Linked DNA regions of Arabidopsis thaliana. The protein of the gene in region 1 purifies or fractionates together with the protein of each later gene. This does not show direct contact. Each region holds a gene or a part of one and is shown in the gene's direction. Other genes may lie near its edges.

The links. The genes of interacting proteins can lie anywhere in the genome.
Region 2: the proteins of AT5G23250 (region 1) and iPGAM2 fractionate together in Arabidopsis thaliana (co-fractionation; one large-scale study listed by BioGRID). This does not show direct contact.
Region 3: the proteins of AT5G23250 (region 1) and MSD1 fractionate together in Arabidopsis thaliana (co-fractionation; one large-scale study listed by BioGRID). This does not show direct contact.

The regions. Positions count from the first base shown.
Region 1 is NC_003076.8:7,826,415-7,834,740, forward strand, and holds AT5G23250 (Succinyl-CoA ligase, alpha subunit), read left to right. Parts: upstream 1-3,941; 5' UTR 3,942-4,045; coding exon 4,046-4,282; intron 4,283-4,515; coding exon 4,516-4,725; intron 4,726-4,843; coding exon 4,844-5,014; intron 5,015-5,222; coding exon 5,223-5,346; coding exon of another isoform or gene 5,347-5,372; exon of another isoform or gene 5,373-5,611; coding exon 5,612-5,673; intron 5,674-5,761; coding exon 5,762-5,843; coding exon of another isoform or gene 5,844-5,851; exon of another isoform or gene 5,852-5,937; coding exon 5,938-6,077; 3' UTR 6,078-6,429; downstream 6,430-8,326. Other genes in the region: NIC2 (nicotinamidase 2), read right to left, coding at 1-187; AT5G23240 (DNAJ heat shock N-terminal domain-containing protein), read right to left, coding at 443-1,066, 1,138-1,321, 1,445-1,701, 1,788-2,120. UniProt on the Arabidopsis thaliana protein: Succinyl-CoA synthetase functions in the citric acid cycle (TCA), coupling the hydrolysis of succinyl-CoA to the synthesis of ATP and thus represents the only step of substrate-level phosphorylation in the TCA.
Region 2 is NC_003074.8:2,606,041-2,615,090, reverse strand, and holds iPGAM2 (Phosphoglycerate mutase, 2,3-bisphosphoglycerate-independent), read left to right. Parts: upstream 1-3,535; 5' UTR 3,536-3,761; exon of another isoform or gene 3,762-3,851; 5' UTR 3,852-3,853; coding exon 3,854-4,018; intron 4,019-4,113; coding exon 4,114-4,392; intron 4,393-4,475; coding exon 4,476-4,679; intron 4,680-4,770; coding exon 4,771-5,195; intron 5,196-5,497; coding exon 5,498-5,690; intron 5,691-5,769; coding exon 5,770-5,865; intron 5,866-5,954; coding exon 5,955-6,110; intron 6,111-6,243; coding exon 6,244-6,408; 3' UTR 6,409-6,783; downstream 6,784-9,050. Other genes in the region: AT3G08600 (transmembrane protein, putative (DUF1191)), read right to left, coding at 1,495-2,445; AAC1 (ADP/ATP carrier 1), read left to right, coding at 8,061-8,534, 8,618-8,992.
Region 3 is NC_003074.8:3,414,213-3,422,159, forward strand, and holds MSD1 (manganese superoxide dismutase 1), read left to right. Parts: upstream 1-3,727; 5' UTR 3,728-3,802; coding exon 3,803-4,097; intron 4,098-4,575; coding exon 4,576-4,622; intron 4,623-4,702; coding exon 4,703-4,828; intron 4,829-4,939; coding exon 4,940-4,996; intron 4,997-5,115; coding exon 5,116-5,193; intron 5,194-5,276; coding exon 5,277-5,369; 3' UTR 5,370-5,680; downstream 5,681-7,947. Other genes in the region: AT3G10915 (Reticulon family protein), read right to left, coding at 1,889-2,055, 2,233-2,302, 2,406-2,547, 2,644-2,824, 3,165-3,244, 3,377-3,492; AT3G10930 (uncharacterized protein), read right to left, coding at 6,016-6,321. UniProt on the Arabidopsis thaliana protein: Destroys superoxide anion radicals which are normally produced within the cells and which are toxic to biological systems.

The DNA.
Region 1 (8,326 bases):
TGTGGCGCGTGAAGAATACGGGGATTGAAGCGCGTCGGCAGATGTCGATGGTGGTGAGAGCGTTTTGGAGGATTGGTTCAGCCATAGAGTAGAAGTGATTCTGCATATCGATGACGAGAAGAGCTGCGATTTTAGGATTTGGCTCTCGCTTTCGTGTCTCGTACGTTCTCGATGATGAAGAAGCCATTTCTGGCGGTGAAGATGAATCTCTTGATCGGTGGAGATATATTTGGGAACGAAAGGATTTAGTCACTCACTTATTGGGCCAATATAAAATGGGCCTAGCCCACGTATGATGTAATCTTGACCTATGTTGGTTATACAGGTATAATTCAATGTGTATATTTGTTGTATAGTATAATGTTCTTTGTTACATTTGCAGGTGAACACGAGTACCTGCTCTAAAGAGGGATATGATGTACATATATATGATCTATGAATCTTATGTTTCTTTATCTTCTAGCTTGTGTTGAACAGCTTCCACAAGTTGGAGTAACATTGCTCCAATGAAGTACCATGTAACTCCTGCTAACAATATCTGCTGCCATGGACTGTTAACTATGGATAAAGCCAGCGAGCCGCCGATATGGTCGTTGAGCTCAGAGGCGGCTCTGTAACTTGCTTGGTACTGAACCAAGAATACTGCTACTATGGCTGTCCCAATTGGAAATTTCTTTATCCTGAACTGTCTTCTATTTTCTCTTCTACTAGTTGGTTTCTCTTCTGAAGGAAATGTCTTACGAGTCACTTGCGGATTCGAGCTAGCTTTGGAACCGTTGTTGTTTCCAGATGAGGGAAGAGCAGCGTTTGATGGACTCCAGTAATCTTCTCCAAGCAAGTAAGCTGATCCTTTCTCTTTGGTTCTTCCGCTTTGGTCTGCTTGTTTCATTGCTGCCACAACATCTTGAAGCTTTCTGATATCTGGATCAACAGCTTTCTTTCTTTTGGTAAAAGTTAGACTCATGTTTGATTCTGGACTCAATGGTTTCGTGTACGGTGATGATCTCCAGTATAGCCAATTGGAAATGGACCTAATCGCCTCTACTGCACTTATTTGTACTTCTCTCTGTGAAACATCCCAACAAAACTACTTAATATCTTACATGTAAGTGTATAACTTGACTATAGATAACTCACCTGGGAGGTCTCTTTTGTGGTTCTGCTCATAGCTTTAGCGTATCTTTCTTGGAACTTCTTGACATCAACAAATACATTGGAGACACGCTCACCAACCGTGTTTCCAACCCCGATCCTCACGTTGCCTCGTGGTTGCTTTGACATAAGGAACTCCAATGGAGCAAGGTCAGATCTCTCCACCATTCTGCACATCTCATAAAGTATCATACTTTTATGTATTTCTCTAGTTGTCTTGTCTCTATTGACTTCACATATAGAGAGGGAAATGAAACAAAACCATTACTACATCTACTAGTTAAGTGCTTACGAAATGCAGTCTACAGGGCAAGCTTCGATGGCTTCTTTGATTTTGGATTCAGGATCAGCCCATTGAGCAACAACCCTCGCTCTCCCGTAAGCAGTTTCAATAGCAAATGTTTTCTCTGCACACAAAGCACACTTCAAACACCCAACACACTTAACCTCGTCCACAAACGCAGCTCGTTGCTCTGTTTCTGGTCCACACCAAACCGAGTATATCGGTTTCCCTGTATAGCCTCTGAGTTCTTCTAGTTTTGCTTGCTCCTACAACAAGAAAGTTTCATTCATATTTACTTAGTGTGACCTTGACAGAGACTACAAGATCAAAGAAGCAATATAAGAATTATAACCTTGTCATAGGCTTGGCGCGAGATCGGATCAGAGAGAAGCTGGTAAGCCTCGTTAAGAATGATGGCCATATCATGACCGGGATCTCCTGCGATATCTGGATGACATCGTTTCTGCAACGCACGATAGGCTGATTTGATCTGAGACTTATCAGAACTTCGATCAATACCCAAGAGGTCATAAAGATCAAAGTCAGTGATAGACGATGATGATGAAGTTGCTCTACACTTGAACTTGAGTGGTGATCTAACGGTGATGAGCTTCTGAGATGTTGAACATGGCCATGTAGCAGTTGATGGAGGAAGAGTCGTCGGAGAAAAAATAGCCGGTGTCATATTTTCCCCTTCTCTGTTTTGGAAGGTGGATGAGTTTAGAGAGGGACAAGTTGTTGAAAATATCTCTATATGAAGCTATTTTTCCATCTCTCTTGGAAAGATATTTTATTTGGGACGAATAAAAGTTCCAAATTGAGTTATAGCTAAAATGAATAATATTTTATAAAAAATAAAATTTTTGAAAGCAGACAATAAAGTTGATTGGTGGCAATTAAAAGAGTTGTACTATTATGATATTATCCTTCTATACGAATGAAAGTTTAAGGCTGAGGATCATAGCGTAAAAAATATCATAATGAATTATCGAAATGTTGTTTTAATAAGAAAAACCAAAAAATAAAGTCTTACATATTTAGGTTACCTAATTTTTGGCTTTTGGTTTGGACTTTAAAAGATCCAGTCTACACTTGTTGTATCTTTCTTACAATCTTTTCTTTCATTTTCAGGTAAACCAAAAAAATTATAAAGAATCTTCCCACCCTAATCAGAAAAATAAATTATAATATCAATTTTCAAGAAATCAAACTTGTAAAATTTTTCTACTTAGGAGAGTATAATTTTGAGAAATTTGAGTTTTTAATCTACAAAAAAATTATAATTAAGTAACTAACCATCCCACAAAAAGATACTGATATTATTTGTATTTTCTGTAATAATGACAATGCTACCCTTTGCCTGAGATACAGGCTCTTTTTCTTCTTCTTCTTCTCTCTTTCCAAAAAACACTTTCTCATCAGCTGTTAACATTCCAACAGCTTTTTGGGTCCCAAAAATTACTATCTCCTTTTTGTAAAGCTTCGGATTCTGAAAACGTTCAATGGAGATGTATTGGCGACGGAATCAATACATTTAATTTTTGGAATTGACGTCTAGGGTTTGTGATTAAATTGAATTGGGGGTTTTGATTTACAAAGGTAAAATTTTGGATTTTTTTGGAGTTACATCAATTTCTAGTTAAGTGTGGCGAGTTCGTGTCTCCTTGTGCCCTCGATTGTGGAACCCAAATGGTGTACCCGGTGTTCTCTACTACCACTTCTTTCCTCTACCAAGAGACTATCTTGTGCTGTGCTACTCGTTATGTTGGTAGTGATGACAAACATATATTATTCTATTTTTCTATGGTTAAAGAATATTAAATTTTAGATTGAAATCTTTGGGTTCCCAATATATTATCCACTTAGGGTTTAGTATCCTTCCAACAAAAACATTTAATTGATTATAATGCTATATTAACGTAACATAAACTACTATCTCATCACCACTACCAACACTATTACTTTATATTTAAAACATTTTGCTCTATACTAAAATTAAAATTGATTTACAAATCAGTTATGAAAATAGTATAGAACAATATTTTATTTCTATACATCTTAAATAGTACAATATATTTTTTACTTACAAACACTATTTCTATTTTTAAAATTCAAATCCGATTTTAAAAATTCAAACTATTCTGTATGTAGAAAAAAACATATATTTTTCTCTACTAAATTTCAGAATTGAAATCTATTTTTTGGAAAAGATATATAGCAAACATATATAAATGGATAAAAACTAAAATAAAGGTTAGTAAATCATCTCACCTATGAGTCAACATTAAAATTGTCTTTTCCCTACCCTTACATGTTACTTTCTTAATTTCTATATATATGATGCTATATTCTTAATTACATTATCAAAAGTAGCTAGTTTTGCAATTCACCCTATAATTTTGTGTGCACAAGAAAAAAAAAAAAAAAGAGTATAATTTTGTTTGGACTCAAATCAATGGGCCTTAATATGGATCCATTAAATTAAGCCCAAAAGCTTTCGTTAATTCTTCAACGAAGATCGCTGAAAATTTCCTTTCCCATTTCGCTGAATAGGGTTCAGTACAAAATTCGGAATCGTAGGTTTAAGAATTTTAGATCATTGAAACAGCCATGTCTAGGCAGGTCACGAGACTTCTCGGATCTCTTCGCCATTCCGGCGGCGGCTGCAGCGGCAGCTCAAAGGTCTGCTCTCTCACTTCATTGGTACAGTCTCGCTCCTTCGGGACAACTCCTCCGCCTCCTGCGGCGGTCTTTGTCGACAAAAATACACGTGTCATCTGCCAAGGTATTACCGGAAAGAACGGGACCTTCCACACTGAACAAGCCATTGAATACGGCACCAAAATGGTATTGTATTCGAGAATTCACATAGATTCAAATGTACTTCTTGGTGTTTTTGAGCAATTCAGATTCTATGTATGGAGTTCTTAAGTACGATCATAAGAGCCGATTCTTTACTATTTCATCTCTCAAGTTCACTTGGAATTGGTTCGTTTATGTTGATGAAATGGTGTTTGTTTTGTGTTTGCTTTAAAGCTTGTGATGATCTTATTTTAGGTTTGTGGTTGTTTGGTTAATAGGTAGCAGGAGTGACACCAAAGAAGGGTGGAACAGAACATTTGGGGCTACCTGTTTTCAACACTGTTGCTGAAGCTAAGGCTGAGACTAAAGCCAATGCCTCTGTGATCTACGTACCTGCGCCTTTCGCTGCTGCTGCTATCATGGAAGGTTTAGCTGCTGAGTTAGATCTTATTGTTTGTATCACTGAAGGAATTCCTCAACATGACATGGTAATAGTCGTTGTTACCAGTTTCCTTTTTTTTTTTTTTTGTGATATCTTCTTTATATGATAGGTTTGCACAGTAATATAAGGTGGCTCTACTGATTTCTCTGGCTTTTGTAATGTAGGTTCGTGTAAAGGCTGCTCTTAACAGTCAATCAAAAACTAGGCTGATTGGCCCTAATTGTCCTGGTATTATCAAACCTGGTGAATGCAAGATTGGGATCATGCCAGGATACATACACAAGCCGGGGAAGATAGGGATTGTTTCTCGATCTGGAACATTGACATATGAAGCTGTAAGGTTCTTTGTGTTGCCTTCATGTTTGTCTCTGTCTTTCTCAACTTATTGACTCCATAGCCTTTAGCATGAGTAGTTGTCTTACTTAAGAACCTCTACTCCGTCGATTGTTAGATTAAGCTTTCACTGATGTCAGTTCCTTACTGGAAGACCTGCTTATTAAGTACTTCTTCTAATGGTTGCATTTTGGTTAATCTTTCATGCAGGTTTTCCAAACTACTGCAGTAGGTTTGGGGCAATCTACTTGTGTAGGAATTGGTGGGGATCCGTTTAATGGGACAAATTTTGTTGACTGCTTGGAGAAGTTCTTTGTTGACCCCCAAACAGAAGGTCTCGGTTTCGGACACCATAATTGATTCCATACATCTTATATCTTTTCCTATTTGTCTAAATTCATTGTTTCCTGTTAGTCACTTACTTTTAATATGTAGTTGATATCCCAAGACTACTACTAGTTCTTTAGTATGTAGAAAAAGGTGATTCATTTGCAGTAATAGACACAGCTTTATCGATATTACAGTCTCGCTCTGTTTTGTAGATTAGTGAAAGAATCCAGCATTGTTTTGTTACTAAGAAATTATTGATTTATTTTCAGGTATCGTTCTCATTGGAGAAATCGGTGGGACTGCAGAAGAAGATGCCGCTGCTTTGATAAAGGTAACTGCAATGCTTCTTTCTAAAGAATCAAGAGTTACCATTTTTAGATGATCAAGCGTAAAAACATATCCTGTTTTCAATTAAACAGGAAAATGGTACAGACAAGCCTGTAGTTGCTTTCATAGCCGGACTTACTGCACCACCAGGGCGTCGTATGGGTCATGCGGGAGGTAAATAAACTTTACTCAGCTCTTTCATTCATTCACAGTTTCCCACTCGAACCCATTATTAAATCTTGTAATGTTTTTTTTGGGATCGATGAAGCCATTGTTTCCGGTGGTAAGGGCACGGCTCAAGACAAGATAAAGAGCCTAAGAGACGCAGGAGTTAAGGTGGTTGAGTCACCAGCTAAGATTGGTGCGGCGATGTTTGAGCTTTTCCAAGAAAGAGGTCTTTTGAAGTGAAACTGAAGTAATATCATAATACAATGAGTTGTTTCAGGAATCAACCTCTCTAATAACAACAGTTTGCCAAAATAGAAGAGTGAAACGGAATTCCTAAAATTCCTTACCATGGAGATAATTGCAGAGAAAAAAAAATAGTCACTTTTTTTTTTGTCTATGCCATTCTATTTTTCAATTTATTGAGCCGTTCTATTTTTTTTTTGTCTTTGTTTTGGTTAAGTTACAAAAAATGAGAACGAATCAATTGCACAAATTTCTTCTTTTAAGAATCAAAATCAACTAATTTAGCTATGTTGATTCCAACTTTTGTCTGCTATGCTATGAGTATTGTTGTAAAACAAACCTTTTCTTTAATTTTAACTAACAATTAACCCCAAAAAATGACAGCTAATCAAAATGATTTTAATTAGTGTCGTGAATATGAATGAAGAGATTCATAATATAATAATATTGGGAAAAAACAATTGACAATGAGAATGCATTTAAGTAAAATGACAAAAACAAAAGCAAAGAGGTCTATAATTGGGTCCTAGGTAATCAATGGTAATTCATGAGGACGTTGTCATTAATTAATTACTACTACGTGTACTAATCAATGGTTATCACTGGTTCAGATAAAGACGCTTACGTCAGATGTTCCATCAAATTACAATTTATGCAATTTGCATTACGTTTTACTCTATTTGTATAATAAGTTTTCGTAAGCCTCTCAAAAGATAAATCGAAACATTTATCATTAAATTAGGCAAATCAATAGAAAAAGAAATTAGCTCATTTTATATTTAGTATTTACATAGATCTGTTATATACGTATGTGTAATGTAGGACAACATAGGGGCAGCAGATGAGAAAGTGTGACAGTGGAAATGACGGAAATAGCCTTGGACCCAACTCTTCCTCTTTGATCATTAGTTTCCTAATTTAGAAACCATAACATGTTTCTTGTGAGTCTTCTGACAGAACAGACGACTGACCATTACTCTCTCTGCTTCCTTAAAAATCCTGTGACCCAAAAATTCAAAGGAAACGACTTTAGGACGTTAGAATTTAAATGGAATTAATGATATATTTAATTGTATACAGTATATTGTTTAGACCATTAAGTTCAAGTTTCAACACGATTTTTCACTTTGCAAGGCATTTACCATTTGTCACATATAGGTAAAATTTATCTACGTACGGATCATCTTGTTATAATAAATGACTTTTTCACCATAGGCAAAACTCCTAAATTCTATTTTTCTATTTAAATTTGTTAAAACATGATCACTGGAATGATTCCACTGTGTATATTCATATCATTAATAATTTTTGTTCTCAATCTTATCATGTAGGCGTAGCCTGTAGGCAGGTGTAGCGCTGCTAATTACTGAATATATATATATCTTATTATATAAAGTATGGTTTTCAAAGTTGCTAACTCATAGGATCGTGCCACGTGTCAAGTCAAACGATCAGATGTTTACATGTGTCATTCAAAATTTAACTTTTTTATTCTCTAAAAAAATAGAAAATCTTAAAAAGTAAACAAATTTACATATACTAATTTATATGTCTATATATTTATAAACAATTAACATTTATTCAAAAAAAGAAAATTAACAAATATGTGTTTAACTCATGTAATTATAAGTGAAAATAGAATATTTTGAGAAAAATAGCTTAGCTTATAAGATTTAACTTTTCAATTATTTTCATTTATTAATTTTAACTCATTTAATATTAATTTGCATGATGTAAAATTAGCTTACGAGATTACGGCATATATAAAAAATATATTTTCAACAATGTTTGGTTTCTAAATATTTTTGTGGATTTCTGATTTTCTATTAATTATTAAGCCTAGGCGTTTGGGTATTCGGATCGGGTATTTCGGGTTCGGGTTTTCGGGTTTAGAAGTTTATGACCCGTTCGGGTAATTTAAGATTTCGGGTCGGGTTCAGTTTGGGTTCGGGTTCGGGTTCGAGTTTATTTATATATTGAAATATCAAATTTTGTGTGCAAATCTATTAAATTATTTGAAATTTTCAAAAATTTCCAAAACAACACGAGTAGTTTTGATTGAATATTTCTAAAAATACACAAAAATAACTAATATATCCAAAAAAATCCTAATATTTTCTATATATAAGTATAAATGTAACTAATATATATTTATATTTGAGATATGTTTGGATACCTATTCAGGTTCTGGTTCGAGTTTTTTAGATTTTGAAGTTTAGACCCGTTCAAGTATTTAAAAATTTCAG
Region 2 (9,050 bases), on another chromosome or scaffold:
GCTCAAAGGAATATTTTTTATTTAATGTAACTAAATCGATCTTACCAACCAACACAACTACATAGATTCACTTCTAATTTCTCTTTAAAACGACACCAGCTTCTGCCAAAAATTACAACTCCTCAGGCAGAGAGAGTTCTTCTTCTTTCCTTTACTTTTTCATGTGTTCACAAACAAGCTCTTGATTATGATAAATTACATAATCAAATCTTTTATTTTCTCCGGTTCATTAAGATTCGATCAACCACACCAGAATATGAGCTAGGAAAAATATGAAAGACCAATGTTGAGAGGAATCTCTTTTACTCTTTAGTGAAAAAGAAGCTTGTTTTCATTTTACCGTTGAGACCTGACTTTGATGTATTTCTTTAGCTTTCTAATAGAACAGATAACAGAAAAAGAAGAAAAGAGACGAATATTCTACAACTATAGTTTCCTTTTGACAAAAACTGGCAATTATTTGTGTGTCCTTGAAACACAATTAATACCGCATTTATACATTTTACTTCATCTCTTTTTCAACCTTAAGATTTTGGAATGATGAGACAAAAAATCTCCTGGTATCTGCAGAAGTCAGAGGAGATGCTGCAATGCTAACTTAGCCATTAACGTTGTTGTCATGGCATTTTACTTGATATGAGCAAGAGGCCACAAGATGGCCCAAGCCAGGATTAACCAAGTCATGTATTCACTTTAACTCAAACTTTATTCCAAATCTGTTCAGTGCAAAGATTTGTAGCTGTGCACATTGTTACATACCTGAAGTGGCAAACGGTGCTTTTCTAAAATGTAGAATGCAAAAAATCCATATGAACGAGATGACTTTTCATATAAGGTAAGCAAACAAGACAATCCTAGATGTAAACATAAACGTTGTAACATTGCCAAGTGCAAATCATCTTCTACATATCCTACCGGATTCTAACCTCTTTGGTTCCAAAATCTATTGGTTCATCGGTGATCTTCTAATATAAATGTGAGGGTCAACAAGTTGCATGAAGCAGATAGCTGCAAAAAATGTTAAAACTCAACAAATCTCAAGAACACACTAGTTCCTTTTGAAGAATGCTAAGCTCAATGTAACAAAGTTGAGTATGGATGATAGGATGATATACATCTTCTTCAACTGTCTGCTTCTCAGACAAAAAGATGTTGAAATTATTACAAAAAGGGCAAAGCTTTACAGCAAAAGTAGTTAGAAGAAAACAAAGTGAGTGCACTCCAGAAACAATCCAACTCTTTTCATTCTCATGGAGAGACCACCAAAGTTTGTTAATTTGAGAGCACAAGAAGAAAACAATATTACTTATTTCCTTATCACCAGCAGAGAAACAAGATGAATGTGGAAGTATCAACTTGCTTACCACAAAGAAAAAATAATCAGAAAAAGAAACACTTTACCAAAAGAAGAATAATTGTAGAAGAAAAAAAGAAAAAGACAGTAACAGATGATCAAGAAGATGTGATGATGATGATGATGTACACAAAAGTATCCTAAGCTGCGTATTCGGTTTCAAGCATTGGTTGTGTACGAGTCGTAGTAGCAGTTGGTGCTCTTGTTTCACCAACCTGAGTCATCCTCAGAGCTTCCCCTGTCTCTCCAGCTCTCTCCATCTCCCTCATTTTCTCTTGCTTCTTGTAATTTCGACATCTCAAAACCAGAAACAGTAAAAGCCCCAACAGTATCAATCCACCAACCACCGACCCAACAATGATCCAAGTCTTGGAATTGGAATCAGAGCTCTTCTTCTTCTTCTTACTCTCAATCCCAGGAGGAGCTAGACTCGGAGCAGAAGCCACAGATTTCACCACCACAGAGAAATGTCCCTGATGCTCAGTCTCGCATGTGTTTCCAGGCTGAATCGAATCGCTGAAACTCGCTTCACCTTTAGAATCGAATCTAACACACTTAGCACTAGACCCTTGCGGGATTCGTTCCAGATCAGAGAAATCGATTCTGATAGGATCATTAGACACCCTTAAATCAAGCTGAGGCAAATTAAGCGCAGAGAGATTCTTAGCATCGTAAGCGAGAAGACCCAAGACAGGAGCGACATAATCATAACCAGACAAAGGGTAATACAAGTGAGAGAAATTAGCTAGGTTTTGATAAACCAAAACAAGCCTTGTCACATACGGCTTGACGATAACGCCGCTGGGAATTGAGAACTCATTAAAAGGAGTGACTCCACGTTTTCTAAAGCTTCCGCTTCTGAGTCTCATAGCAGCGAGTTTGATCCCAGTCAAATTGGAAGGAACAGTAGTAGCCTCGTAGAGAATGCCGGTACGAGGACGAAGCAAGGCTCTAAAAGAGTAATCTTGAAGAAGAGCATCGAGTGAAGAAGAAGAAGAAGCATTGGGTGAAGAAGATTGAGCAGAGAGCTTTTGTAGACGAAGAGATAGAAACAGAAGCAGCAGCAGCTGGAGACAACGGAGAAACCCCATTGCTTTTTTTTGTTTCTTTCGCCTCTGGAGCAAAAAAAAATCCCCCCAGGGCGAGTCAAAGGTGGGAGACACAGGAATAAAAAGTCGCCGTCACGTCTGAGTAGAAAAAGGGTAAAAAGGGGAAATGGTGAAGAGAAGAACAAATCGAGGAATGAGGGTTAAGGAGCAATGGAGGAAGCTGAGGAGGAGGAGGAGGAGGAGGAGGAGAGAGAATGAATGGTCGCCGGTGGAAAAGAGAGAGAGAGAGAAAGGAGAGAAGGAGAGAGCCAAAAGGACAAAAAGGAGAAGAAGAGTGTTGTCGTCAGTCCCATTTGTTCACAAAAAAAAAAATGATACAGCCTGTTCATCTGATTTTTTCTCCCTTTACACATTAACAAAAATTTAATATTTTGTTTGTTTTTTTTACTTTCCTTTTCGACCAATCATATTGATACATTGCGGCATTCAATTTCGCCGTAACAGTTGTCCGTCTACCTCTTATTGTGTTATCTGTATCTCTCTCTGTATATTTCCCATATATGTATACTGTATGATTCTTTTCTACTTTTGTTTTTGTCTTTCCTTATCCTTGGCCCATTTATCTGACTATGAACCACGTCTCATCTAGTTTCAGGCTTTTTAAGCCCAATATATAGGAACTCAACTTTTTGTCTTTGGCCCATTAGAAATTGTTTTTTAGCCTTCTACCAACCTTTTGAAGGTTCCCAGTTAATATTATGATGATATTGAATAAATAAATGTGCACAACCCTGAATTTCTTACATGAGTTTTCGGTTTGGTTTTCGTGTAATTTCAGTTTGATTTAATGCAATCTCAAGGTTTAAATAATGATTTAGATAAAAAAAAGTTACTGTCAACAGAAATTAATGTAATCCCAGTTACTAAAACTTACCCATTTTTGATCAAATTCTGGTTCAAATACCGTATAAACTATTAAGTTAACTCCGGTTTGACCTTTTCTGTATGCTATTTTTTACGTTGACCAAAATAAAAAGGTATATACAATTTTTTTTACATGGCGCACACCATGACTATTACAAACGGCATGATCCAGAACATTCGTTCATAGCAGCTAAAACTAGAACATTCGTCTCCTTCCATTTTTTTGGGGGCTTCACAATGTTTACTTGAGCCCAAAGTAAAGCCCATTAAATTGGTACCACGTCATCGCTAACTTTTCCATTTCTATGTTTCTATAAAAGTCTCATATTATGTCAGTGATAGCTCTCAACCTACCATACTTCACCACATAACCACTTCTGTCTCTGCGAATCTCCATAAGACTCTTTGAGAAGCTTTCCTCTGTTTCTCCGCTGGTAAGCTTCCGTTATCTCTCTCTCTCTCGCTTCTCAGATCTGTTCCTTAAACCTTTAATTTCTCACCGACGAGTGGATCTGAATCCACAGTTATGGGTAGCTCCGGCGACGTTAACTGGAAACTTGCGGACCACCCCAAGCTTCCCAAAGGCAAAACTATCGGTTTGATTGTTCTCGATGGATGGGGTGAATCTGATCCCGATCAATACAATTGCATCCATAAAGCTCCAACTCCTGCCATGGATTCCCTTAAAGACGTATGTTTCCTTTTTTGTTTATATCCACTTCTTTCCTCGATGATTTCGCTGGATTCCGATTATGGACTTCAACGGTTCGATTTTATTCTTCACAGGGGAAGCCCGACACATGGAGGTTGATCAAAGCTCATGGTACCGCCGTTGGTCTCCCCAGCGAAGACGACATGGGAAACAGTGAAGTTGGCCACAATGCTCTTGGAGCTGGTCGAATTTACGCTCAAGGTGCTAAGCTTGTTGATCTCGCCCTTGCTTCAGGGAAAATCTATGAAGATGAAGGTTTCAAATACATCTCTCAATCTTTTGAGAAAGGCACTGTGCACCTTATTGGTCTTCTAAGCGATGGTGGAGTTCACTCTCGTTTGGATCAAGTCCAGGTACTTAATTCTCATCTGTTACACATTTCTTTTGAAACGTTGGCGTTTGTTAATTTTCTTTAATTTGGTTCTGTTTGGTGCAGTTGCTGCTTAAGGGTTTTGCAGAACGTGGTGCTAAGAGAATCCGCGTCCATATTCTTACTGATGGTCGTGATGTTTTGGATGGTTCTAGTGTCGGATTTGTTGAAACTCTTGAAGCTGACCTAGCTGCTTTACGTGCGAAAGGTGTTGATGCTCAGGTTGCATCTGGTGGAGGTCGAATGTATGTCACAATGGACCGTTATGAGGTAGGCAATGCTTGTGAGATCTTGTATGAATGTCATGCCTTGTCTAGTCTAGTTTAGAAATGAATCCAATTTTTGCTTTCCTTCCTTGCAGAATGATTGGAGTGTTGTTAAACGAGGTTGGGATGCACAAGTCCTTGGGGAAGCTCCCCACAAATTTAAAAGCGCTCTTGAAGCAGTTAAGACACTGAGGGCAGAACCTGGTGCCAATGACCAGTATTTGCCTTCGTTTGTTATTGTTGATGATAATGGAAAGGCTGTGGGTCCAATTGTTGATGGTGACGCAGTTGTTACATTCAATTTCCGTGCTGATCGAATGGTCATGCATGCAAAGGCCCTCGAATACAAAGATTTCGACAAGTTTGATCGCGTACGTGTCCCTGATATACGTTATGCAGGAATGCTCCAATATGATGGAGAGCTTAAGCTTCCTAGCCGCTATCTTGTTTCTCCACCATTGATTGACAGAACTTCTGGTGAATATCTGGCACACAATGGCGTTCGTACTTTTGCTTGCAGGTTAACTTTTAGAATCTCTCAAATCTTTAGTTATTGTCTTTGCCATTTTCTTCTATTGCTGCTTCCTGGTTTATTTATTTGCTGGAATTGGATTCATAATTGAAACTGTGATAAGAGTAATCCAGTCTTCTTTACTTGCTCGGTAGAGGTCTAATTTATGATTGGGGGTTGTTTGTTGATTAAAACTAGTGAAATCTCCTAGCTCACTTTTTCTTGATGAGATTATACCGTTGATGGTTAGTTACATATAATGAATGAATTCTCAGCTATTAACCTATTAAAATTTTATTTCACTGAAACAGTGAGACTGTGAAGTTTGGCCATGTAACCTTCTTCTGGAATGGCAACCGCTCTGGATATTTCAATGAAAAGTTAGAAGAGTACGTTGAGATTCCAAGTGATAGTGGAATATCATTCAATGTCCAGCCAAAGATGAAAGCACTGGAAATTGCCGAGAAAGCAAGGGATGCTATCCTTAGTGGCAAGTTTGACCAGGTAAGGTGTATTCTCTTATCACATTGTATCAACCCATTAAAACAATTGGCTTCTGAGTTTGGTGCCAATGGATTTTCAGGTGCGTGTAAACCTGCCAAATGGAGATATGGTGGGGCATACTGGTGATATTGAAGCAACTGTTGTTGCCTGTGAAGCTGCTGATCGTGCTGTGAGGGTATGATTTCAATAAATTTGTGACATGGGAATGTTAGAAACCGTTCTTAGTAGCAATGACTCACTTAGTTTTGGTGTCCTGGTTTGCAGACAATCCTTGATGCCATAGAACAGGTCGGAGGGATATACGTTGTGACTGCAGATCACGGAAATGCTGAGGACATGGTTAAAAGGGACAAATCCGGCAAGCCTGCTCTCGATAAGGAAGGGAACCTTCAGATTCTTACCTCTCACACCCTTAAACCAGTAAGTTCTAGCACTACTAAAACAGTTCGTGTTATGACCATTGCAACTGAGCATAGATTAAGCATGAGGGGTTGTAATACCAGAAGTGGTTGGTGTATCTTATATGAAATTTGGACATGATGTGTGTGTGCAGGTGCCAATTGCCATAGGAGGTCCTGGCTTGTCAGCAGGAGTTAGGTTTAGACAGGATATCGAGACACCTGGGCTTGCAAATGTAGCTGCGACAGTGATGAACCTCCATGGATTTGTGGCCCCGAGTGACTATGAGACAAGTCTGATCGAAGTCGTCGAGAAGTGATGATTCTTGTTGTTGTAGTTCTTTTTAAAAGTCCCACCTGAGCCTCTATAGACTCTGATTCTCTTTTAAGTTACTATTTTCACCGCTCTCTAATAAGGCTCGTGATTTTTTGGGAGCCATACTGTATACTCGCCGGCCCTCTCACGATGTTGTTCAATTCACAGACTAAATTTGATTTATCTATTTCGCCAAAACATAACTTCATTAAAAAATGTTCTCCAAATAACTAAACGAATTAAATAAAAGAAACCTTTCATGTAAAGTTAAAGGTATGAGACTTTAAGGGCAGTTGCTGAACATTCGTAACACATGGGAGAACAATAGAGAAAGTTGAAAAGAAACGTAGCATATAGAAAAATTATCTTTGTAACCAAGTTGATTTAGAAAAATATCACTATTTGTGAAAAATACTAGATCAGTTTATTATTACTTTTTTTTTTTTTGTATATTCACAAATATCATATTCATATAGAAGAAAATAAACAAAGTTGTAAAAATCTGGCATTTAAAATAAAATTGAACACTTCAATTTATTTCCTTTCATAATAATAATTTTGGCATAAGATATTTGCAAATTGATCTGGTTCGGTATGGTCGACAAAATAATTTTCCACGCTACCCTTCCAGCCGTCCATTCACTATTTGCCCTCAACGTTACCAAATAACGGTCCAGATTCCTAGGGCAAGATCTAACGGTTAGCAAGTAAAGTCGTACCATCAGAAAGAATAACAATTCTTTCACAAAGTAAACATAACCAACGGTTAACAAGTTCTTAGGGTTAAATCAGTAAGATCCAACGGATATTAAATTGCAAGGCCCAAATAGTTTTTTTGCAGCAGATAATAACTCGTCCCCACTGGCGAGTGACGACCGAGACTCTGTGACCCTATTTTTCGAGACGATAAAAGGGCAAACAATCGCTCTTTTCAAAGCTCGCCTCTTCACCACAGAGAAAACTTCGTCTCTCTTCTCTGCTTCGCCCTCTCATTTCCTGTGAGATAAAGGCGGAGTCTCTCTCCAGTTATTTTGCTCATCCATCGATTCTTAGGTATGACTCGTTTCTCTCAGATCTGTGATTCTTTATAATCTCGTCGTTCTTCAAATCATTGTTATATTCGTTTCTTCGATCTGTGTTTTTTAGATCTGTAAGGTAAATGAGACGTTTCGATCTGTAGATCTGATTGTTATATTGATAGATTATGTTATCTGCTTTGCTTAAAGTCCGATCGGAATGTTTTGTGCTCATTGTCGAATATCTGATGTATCGGTTTCATAGATCTGCTTCTTTTTGTGCGTTTCGTTGATCTGATAATCTTCTAGTGATCAAAATCGTTTGGATCTGTTGACTTTAGTTTAAAATGTATCCGATCTGATGTCGAGGCTTCATTATTGGAAGTTGTTATTGTTGTAATCCTGATTTAAGTTGCTGTTCTTAAATTTATATGATCTTTGCGTTATAATATGACATGGTAGATCTTGGTTCATGGTTCACTGTTTTCCAATAAACTTGGTTTGTTTGGTTGGATAGCGTTCTGTGATACGACCATGTCTTGTGTTGGATAAGAATTCTCTGAATTTCCTTGGCTGGTTTGTAGTATGTTATTCACGTCTGGTTTCTCATCAATGATTATGTGATTTTGCAGAGTTCAAAATGGTTGATCAAGTTCAGCACCCCACTATTGCGCAGAAAGCTGCCGGGCAGTTCATGCGTTCAAGTGTTTCCAAGGACGTTCAAGTGGGTTACCAGAGGCCTTCTATGTATCAAAGACATGCAACCTACGGAAACTACTCCAATGCTGCATTTCAATTTCCTCCGACATCCCGGATGTTGGCAACAACTGCTTCTCCCGTGTTTGTCCAAACCCCAGGAGAGAAGGGGTTCACTAACTTTGCCCTTGACTTTCTGATGGGTGGTGTTTCTGCTGCCGTCTCCAAGACTGCTGCTGCTCCTATTGAACGTGTTAAGCTTTTGATCCAGAACCAGGATGAGATGATTAAAGCTGGCAGGCTTTCTGAACCCTACAAGGGTATTGGTGACTGTTTCGGCAGGACGATTAAGGATGAAGGTTTTGGTTCTCTATGGAGAGGAAACACTGCCAATGTTATCCGTTATTTCCCCACTCAGGTTTGTTGAGTTTCATACTCTTTCTTGTTATAGCTTTTGAAAAAACATAATTTTCTGCTAACCTTCTTTTTTGTCTATTGTAGGCCTTGAACTTTGCCTTCAAAGATTACTTCAAAAGACTTTTCAACTTTAAGAAGGACAGAGATGGTTACTGGAAGTGGTTTGCTGGTAACTTGGCATCTGGAGGAGCAGCTGGTGCCTCTTCCCTTCTGTTTGTGTACTCCCTTGACTATGCCCGTACCCGTCTAGCTAATGATGCCAAGGCTGCAAAGAAAGGAGGTGGTGGAAGACAGTTTGATGGTCTTGTTGATGTCTACAGAAAGACACTTAAGACTGATGGTATTGCTGGTCTGTACCGTGGATTCAACATCTCATGTGTTGGTATCATTGTCTACCGTGGTCTGTACTTTGGACTCTATGACTCTGTGAAGCCTGTTCTCCTCACTGGTGACTTACAGGTATGTCTTGTTGTCTTTCTCTCTGATCTGTGTGCTCTCTTGCCTATCATTGGTTGAT
Region 3 (7,947 bases), on another chromosome or scaffold:
ATACACTTTGATCCGGAATAATAATAAAAAAAAAAGTATGAACATTGATTTACAATTTATGCTTAAAACACAAATTAGAACATGTATTGGGCCACTATATATATAATTTATACCGTAAATGTATGTACCAAAAATAATTTTGATCTCTATTTGTGGCCTTGTGGGACACAATCTTTGTTCAAATGTTTATTGTATCGGTTGTGTATTGGATAAATATAAAGGATAGAGCAAAGAAGAAGACAAATAAGAAAAAGATTAGTTTAGTAGATATGAGAATTGACAACTAACAAACTCATTATTAGTGGTTTTAAGAACTTTGGAATCAAGCTAAAAGGAATTAATTCTCAATTAAGAAAAACTACAAATGAGATTTGATGTAGAAAAGCAATATTGGATTATATAAACTGTATGGTTGGGGTATCACATTCCCAACTAAACATGACGAATATAATTAACATATCATATATCGATTTATTCCATGGTTTTGGTTTTCTTGTGGGTAGACACATCTTTAATAACCAATTTGGTTTTGGCTACCACCTTGGTTTCGTGTATTTGGTCAAGGCCAAAAGATTTTCCATTTGTTTGGTCATTGCAAATTCCATATGATGGTATGTAGAATTCGAAGATTCTGATGATGAAAAAATAATGTATATATGTAGTTGGTTTACGAATCAAATGGTCCAAACAAAATCATGTGGCACTTACGGGTCCACAACCACAAGTATAAGAAGTCCAATTCAAACACACTAGTTAATGTAGAAATACAAATAAAATTAAATAGAATTACGAGTTCACGCAAAGGTCACAACACTTGTCTCTCTTAGCTTCAATAAGTTCCATTAGTTGATAACAACACTCCAACGTTAGAGATCCATCAAACCCCATACACGAGTCTATTTTGTGTATTTACTATGTCTATTTATCAGATTCAAATGCTTGGTTAGAAGTTGCTATGGGTCTCATATAGTCAGAAAATTTAAGGTACTCGTATTTAATTCGTATATGTACATCAGTACAGATAACATGTACATCTATGTCTAATTGATCAAGTTGTTAGAATAAAGAATAATTATTTAAATTTAGATGATGGCCATTTTAGGTTATACTAGACATAAAAATGATAGGATATATATAAAAAGTTGAAGACATAAAAAGATCAATACATGATAGGATTTATATATACAAGCAAATGAGTACTGTATGAGTTGTGAAAGATAAACATATATACCACCACGAAAGAGTGTGATACAAGTAAAATTCATTTAATTAATATAAAATATAGTAGGTGGACATGGAGATGGAATACTATATCATCATAGAATTTCATTTTATGTAATGAAATGATAGTCGTTGAAAGAAAACATGATAAATTAAAATGGAATTCGTAGGAATACGTAATAGAGTTTGATCATCTTCATTGATATGACCATGTATAATACTATAACAACACAAGTGACTACACCTACTCAATCATGTAGTATAGTCATTACTTGTAGACTTGTTGTAGCACTGTTTTTCTTTTCCTGACGTCATATTTGTAGCAAGTCCGATTAAATTGTGTAAGTGAGGTTCTTCTGTGACGTGAACACGTGACCTAACATTCTCAGCATATGGGCATTAAAGTTGGGCTAGTCAAATCCATCTGAAATGTGAGTATTGTTCTGCGCCACGACGTCGTTTAACGAACAGCGGTGTTAAACTTTTTTTGTATTTTTTCCTCCAGTGGTGTTAAGCTTCAGACGAAGGCAAGAGTTAATTTAGTTGAACAAAGAAACCATCTTATATTCATTCTGGATATGGCGTTTAGTTATACTACAAATGGTGAATAACAAGAAAAGCTAAACAAAAACAAGTAAAAGCATTCTCAGAATCACCAAAGTTAAGCTCATGAATCTTTATCCTTGGATAAGCTCCATGAGAGTCTGCTTATAACATTTTCGTCTACTATTTTGTAGTGGTGAGACAACCGCCTGTGAATCGTCCCGCAACACTTGTCTACTTTGCTTTGATATTTACTGTACAAAGCCGGTATTGTTACAGATAGGATGGTCCCTGTTCACACCATAAAAAGTATAAACTTCATATAAGAATTTGGTTCACTGAGTTTAAAACAACAATGTCGCAGGAACTAAAACGAGATCAACAAGCCAACGTGGGGGATGAAACTGAAGGATCAAAAAACATAGAAGCTTTTTCCTTTCATTTGCATTTAAGGATCAAGTTACTAACCGATGTAAAGAAGAGTGCAGAGAGATATATAGCTACCAATGGCAGAGAGAAGCCACAGACAAATCACCACCTGCTAAAGAAAAATCGTCAGACCAACAGTTCAGATGCTTAACGGTTCCCATGTCATTTCACTCAACATCATCGTGAGTTTCTGAATGGGTTAGCTTCATAACCTTGAAGAAGAGTCGAAAATCGTTGCCAACTGTGACATCATGAGCCATTACAAGCAAGTGATTGAGTTTTATACGGAAAGAAGCTGCAGCACTATTCACCATTTCCTCTGATAGAACAAGCTCTGGCAACGAATGCAACTGTCTGCTTATAAAGAGATAACAGGTAGAAATCATCACTAATCAGTCACATAACAGCAAAGAATTAAGAAAAAGAAGACTAGTGAAAAGTAGAGCGCACCTATTCCTAAAAGCAGAAACCCGGGCATGAACGAATGATATCATGATCACGATGAGTAAGACATCCGAAGAAACAGATAAGAAAGGCAACCCGGAAAACTCGAATATAAGCCAGGCTACAGTTGATATAATGATAACCCCCAAAGAAAGATGTCGCCTCCTCCATAAGAGCAAGTCAGCAGCTACATCAAAGAACAAAGCCATACAAAAATCACAAACAGTAGCTTTTTGCTGGACCTATGAACTCATCATGCGTATCCAGAGATTTGAATCAATCAATTTCTCATTCAAAATCAAACCTAAACCTAACTTTCACCTGCCAAGTTTTCCATTTTCTACTATACCCAAAATGCTAAATGTACTTACACACATGACGATTTTCACAACCAACCAAAATCAGAAACCCTAACTATTCCAACTATCATCCCCAATTTGAATTTTCTGTTCTGTAAATCCGAGAAAATTCTCATCACAAACTACCAAAATGATGAAAAAACACAAATTCTGGAAAAAAGAACTCGCCTTTGCCACCACCCATGAACTGATGAACCGTAATCTGCCGACCCAACAATCGATAATCCGATGACGATCCTCCTTCATTTCTTCCATCGAAATCACCATCGATATCACTTAAACTATCCATCGGAGAATTAAAAAAAAAAAACCGAATTTACACAAATTCTCCGACTTCCAGGTTCCTATTTCGATCTCGCCGACTCCGATTTGAAATTTACCTTAAAGATACGATCTCAGTACAATGGTTTGTGAAAGCAGCTAGATTGATGGGAGAATGACAGCGATTGGGTGGATTATCAAGGAGGAACCAAATAGAATTGGCTTTCACATGCATCCAACAAATTCAACATTTGGAAATTCTCCGTTTCTAGTCAACTTTCTTCATTTCTTTATTTTTTTCCTGTGAACAAACAAAAAAGTAACATTTAGCCGTCACAAAATATTAAAAATTACGCTTTATTATATTAAGGCCTTGGGCTCACTAATCCAATATTACGGCCCATAAATAAAAATCACATGTCTACGTGTCAAAACAGTCACTTTTCTCTATACATGACAGGCAGTGATATTATCATAACCCTCCACTTATACACATGTTCATTTTTGGCGACCACTAGAAGGAGAAACAAATCTTCATTCCAACAATGGCGATTCGTTGTGTAGCGAGTAGAAAAACCCTAGCCGGCTTGAAGGAGACATCATCGAGGCTATTGAGGATCAGAGGGATTCAGACTTTTACGCTTCCTGATCTTCCTTACGATTATGGCGCATTGGAACCGGCCATTAGTGGAGAGATCATGCAGATTCATCACCAGAAGCATCACCAGGCTTATGTTACTAATTACAATAATGCTCTTGAGCAGCTTGATCAAGCTGTGAACAAGGGAGATGCTTCCACTGTTGTTAAGTTGCAGAGCGCCATCAAATTCAACGGCGGAGGTGTGTTTGTGTGTCTGACTCTCTTTTTTTTTTTTTTTTACGATCTCGATTTCTATGTGTTTGATCGATTGGTTTGTGTTTAGATCGTGTTTGGATGATATTAGCAAATGAAGTAGTTGATTTAGGAGAGAAATTTGGTTTGAACAGTGAAGCTGATGAGTAATTTTGATGAATTGGGATGAAACTTCTGTAAGAATCAATGAAACTTTTATCGGTAATGCAAGCTTTCTTAGATAGCTACTTTTGTTTGCTGGGTCTTGAGATCATAACCAGTTGATTTAGTATAGAACTTTTGTTAGGAACATTGAAGCTGTTGATTAATTTTGATGACTATAGTTTGGTATTAGGATTGTTGCTTCTTGAGCTCCGGACCGGTTGGATTGATAGAAGAGAAATTGGCAGAGAAACTATTGGAAATAAATTGAGTTTTTTGTGTGCTAGAGAATGGGAATTGATCGACTTTATTTCTAACGTGCAGGTCATGTCAACCATTCGATTTTCTGGAAGAACCTTGCTCCTTCCAGTGTGAGCTTGTGTTTTGAGTTTCTGTGTATTTCTTCGATTTTGTTGTTCTGTAATTGATGGTTTGTTTTAATGTATAACAGGAAGGTGGTGGAGAGCCACCAAAAGGATCTCTTGGTAGTGCCATTGACGCTCACTTTGGCTCCCTTGAAGGTCTGGTGAAAAAGATGAGTGCTGAGGGTGCTGCAGTGCAAGGCTCAGGATGGGTGGTCTGTAGTCTAGTTTCACCTTTTTATTTCATCTGCTCACATTGTCGACTCTGGTGCTTTACGTATAATAACCATGGTCCTTGATTCGCTTGTTTCTGTTGATTAATTCAGTGGCTCGGACTAGACAAAGAACTGAAGAAGCTAGTTGTTGACACAACTGCCAATCAGGTAACTTATCCATGATCAGGAATGCGCTATTGAATATGTTCAAAAGATTTCTTGGTACTCATGAACATCTGTGAGAATAATGGGTTTTAAAGAAAAAGAGTTTGTTTCGGTTGGTGCAGGATCCATTAGTGACAAAAGGAGGAAGCTTGGTACCTCTGGTGGGTATAGATGTTTGGGAGCACGCCTACTACTTGCAGGTAACAACACTTTTGATACCTTAAGTCTCATGAGTTAGCTTAAAAGATTAAGCTCTCTAATCAATCTGTATTCTCTCATTCAGTACAAAAATGTGAGGCCTGAGTATCTGAAGAATGTATGGAAAGTGATCAACTGGAAATATGCAAGCGAGGTTTATGAGAAGGAAAACAACTGAATCGTTTACACGATGACATAAGGAGATGAACCAGTTCCAGCTCAGCTTTTGTTTTAAGGTTGTCTGAAACAAACTTACAGTGTCTCTTTGGTTTTTAAGATTTGCTCAACTCAGCTGTGTGGTACGTTGTTTTACAATGAAAGTTTTCAAGAATAAAAATTTGCTATTATTGTCAGAAAGCGCTATTGTTTATTCTACGAAGAAAACAAAACGGAATCTTATTGGTATAATAATTACCTCATTTCAATAAAACAATAACTAATTTTCTCGTTTTTCACTACTCGACACATATATGACAGGAATATTATAACGAAGAAATTTGGGATTAATGAAATTTGTGAAATAATGCATACACACTTGTGTAATAAAAATGCATTATCTTTGTGTCTGCGTTGTGGAAAATGGATCATAGTCAAGTCTCATAAAAAACGCGTTCAATTCAATTTATACATATTTCGCCTAACTTTTGATTCTTTACGCCTTGGCCCCATTCTTATCTTTTAATTTTATCTCTTTCTTGGAAGTTACCCAAACACTAATACAATGTCAATTCAAATGGTATCCTTGACTCTTTTATGCGTTTAACTTAAAAGACTTTCTTAGTCTAAATAAAATTGATACATAATCATAGAAATTAAAAAGCTGATTAACGTTTATCAAAGAAATATTGATGAAACGATACAAGATGATAGTCTAAGTCTTGATCATTTCGACTTACATTACCAAATAAAATCCTCATTTTTCCTAAACTTCTACTGTAAATTTCTGTAATACATGTAACATTTACAATAATCTCTATTTGAAAACGAAAAATCAAAGAATCTCTAAAGAACAAAAAAAGAAAGAAGTAAGAATTAGGACAGAAAACTCTAGAAAGAATAGTGCTAAGTCTTGACGTCGTTAGTTTTCTTGCTGGGTCCAGACCCCGGACGACTCCCTTTCGGAAGAGCATTCAACACCAAGGACCCGAACTTTCCGGCGACAACTTCAGGAACAAAAGAAGAATATTCCGTCTTGGTCTCCTGCTCGCCTCCGCAACCAACCACCGCCGACTTAGAAACAGGAGGGATCTCTCCGGAGAAGATGACTGGAACAAACTCTCCGGGTAAGATCCTCGCCGTCGATAGAGAAACAGAGATGAAAAGAAGAATCAAAAGTAAAGATCTGTTAATCGCCATCTGTAAAAATCTTTTTGTGGACTATTTTTTTGTTGGATTAGTCTTGCTTGGTTTGTAAAATGATGAAGTGGGTGAAGATCAAAGAGAGAGTGTATCCATTATATATATACGGAGTTTGTGAAAGTGCGAAAGGTCAATGGGGGGAGTTGGAAAACTTACGCGGCAAGTGTTCGGACTAAACAATAGTGTTGAATAAATTGGTCCTTTCCATCGAGTCCAATTAAAAATATCATTTTCATTTGTAACGAGTTAACTTTTTTTTGTTTTATTTTTAAAATTCTAAACGTGTGTGGTAAGCTGAAATAAAACATAAAAAAACAATGATTCGGTTATCGATTTTGGTTGAAATGCAATCAATCAACAAAGATGTGCTTAGTTTAGAAATAGGTTTAAATGAAATATTAGAAAACACAAGAGTGAAAGAGACCATTGAGAAACAGAAAACGTTTACATATAATTCGGAAATATGATATCAGTTTATTTTATTTTATTTTTACTTTTTGTCAAAATTGTTGTGCTGAAATTGATAGATTACTTATTATAGTGCATGATCTTGTATTACATGGACATTTTGAATAACATTCACGAGTTTCATCATCAAGTATAATATTAACAAGAACATTTAAACAGAGGTATGCAACTATTGCATCTACTTTGTGAACCCTATAAGTTTGTCGTATGATCATCAAACTATACAAATATTTTCATGAAATGAATGTGCATATCAAATCACAAAATAAAAAGAAGATAAGATTTACACTTTTTAAGTCATTAATGGAATTTCCAACTGCTACCAAGAAAAGCCGTAGCCCACCGTCACTTTTTGACCGCGTCCTTCTTCTTGTTCCCCAAGTCTCTCCCACACTCTCACCGCCTTTACACTTCCATTAACGTGTGTGTGAAAGAGATATAACTTTTGTCTCCTTTATTAGATGAGCCAAATTTTCAACATTAGATTGTAGATAACACGAATGTCATTTGTTGGATATTGCGGTGCAACTTTACGGTTGCTCATGAGAGTTGAAAAATATGACTTAGCAGTCATATTTTCTTCTTGTTTAAGCCTAAAGTAGGGTAACGAGAAAGCAAAGCGTATAGTCTTGATAGTTTCTCTAAGCTTTTATGGGGTTGTTGGGTCGAAAACACATTGACCATAGCCCAAGAATATTGGAGCATTAACATGAGCTAAGTGCTTTTCTTATGAAAAACCTCCCAATAGCCGATCACCAATTCTGATGAAAACCAAAGTCAAATGTCGTGTAAGAAAATGGCCAAAAGTGTCGCTGCTAAGTCGTGCCATCACTTTAACAGTAAATACATCTAAGTGTATGTATAAATTATATAGACTTCATCTTTGTAGAACTAGACAAGAAGAACCACAGAGTTCCTGACAACAAGGT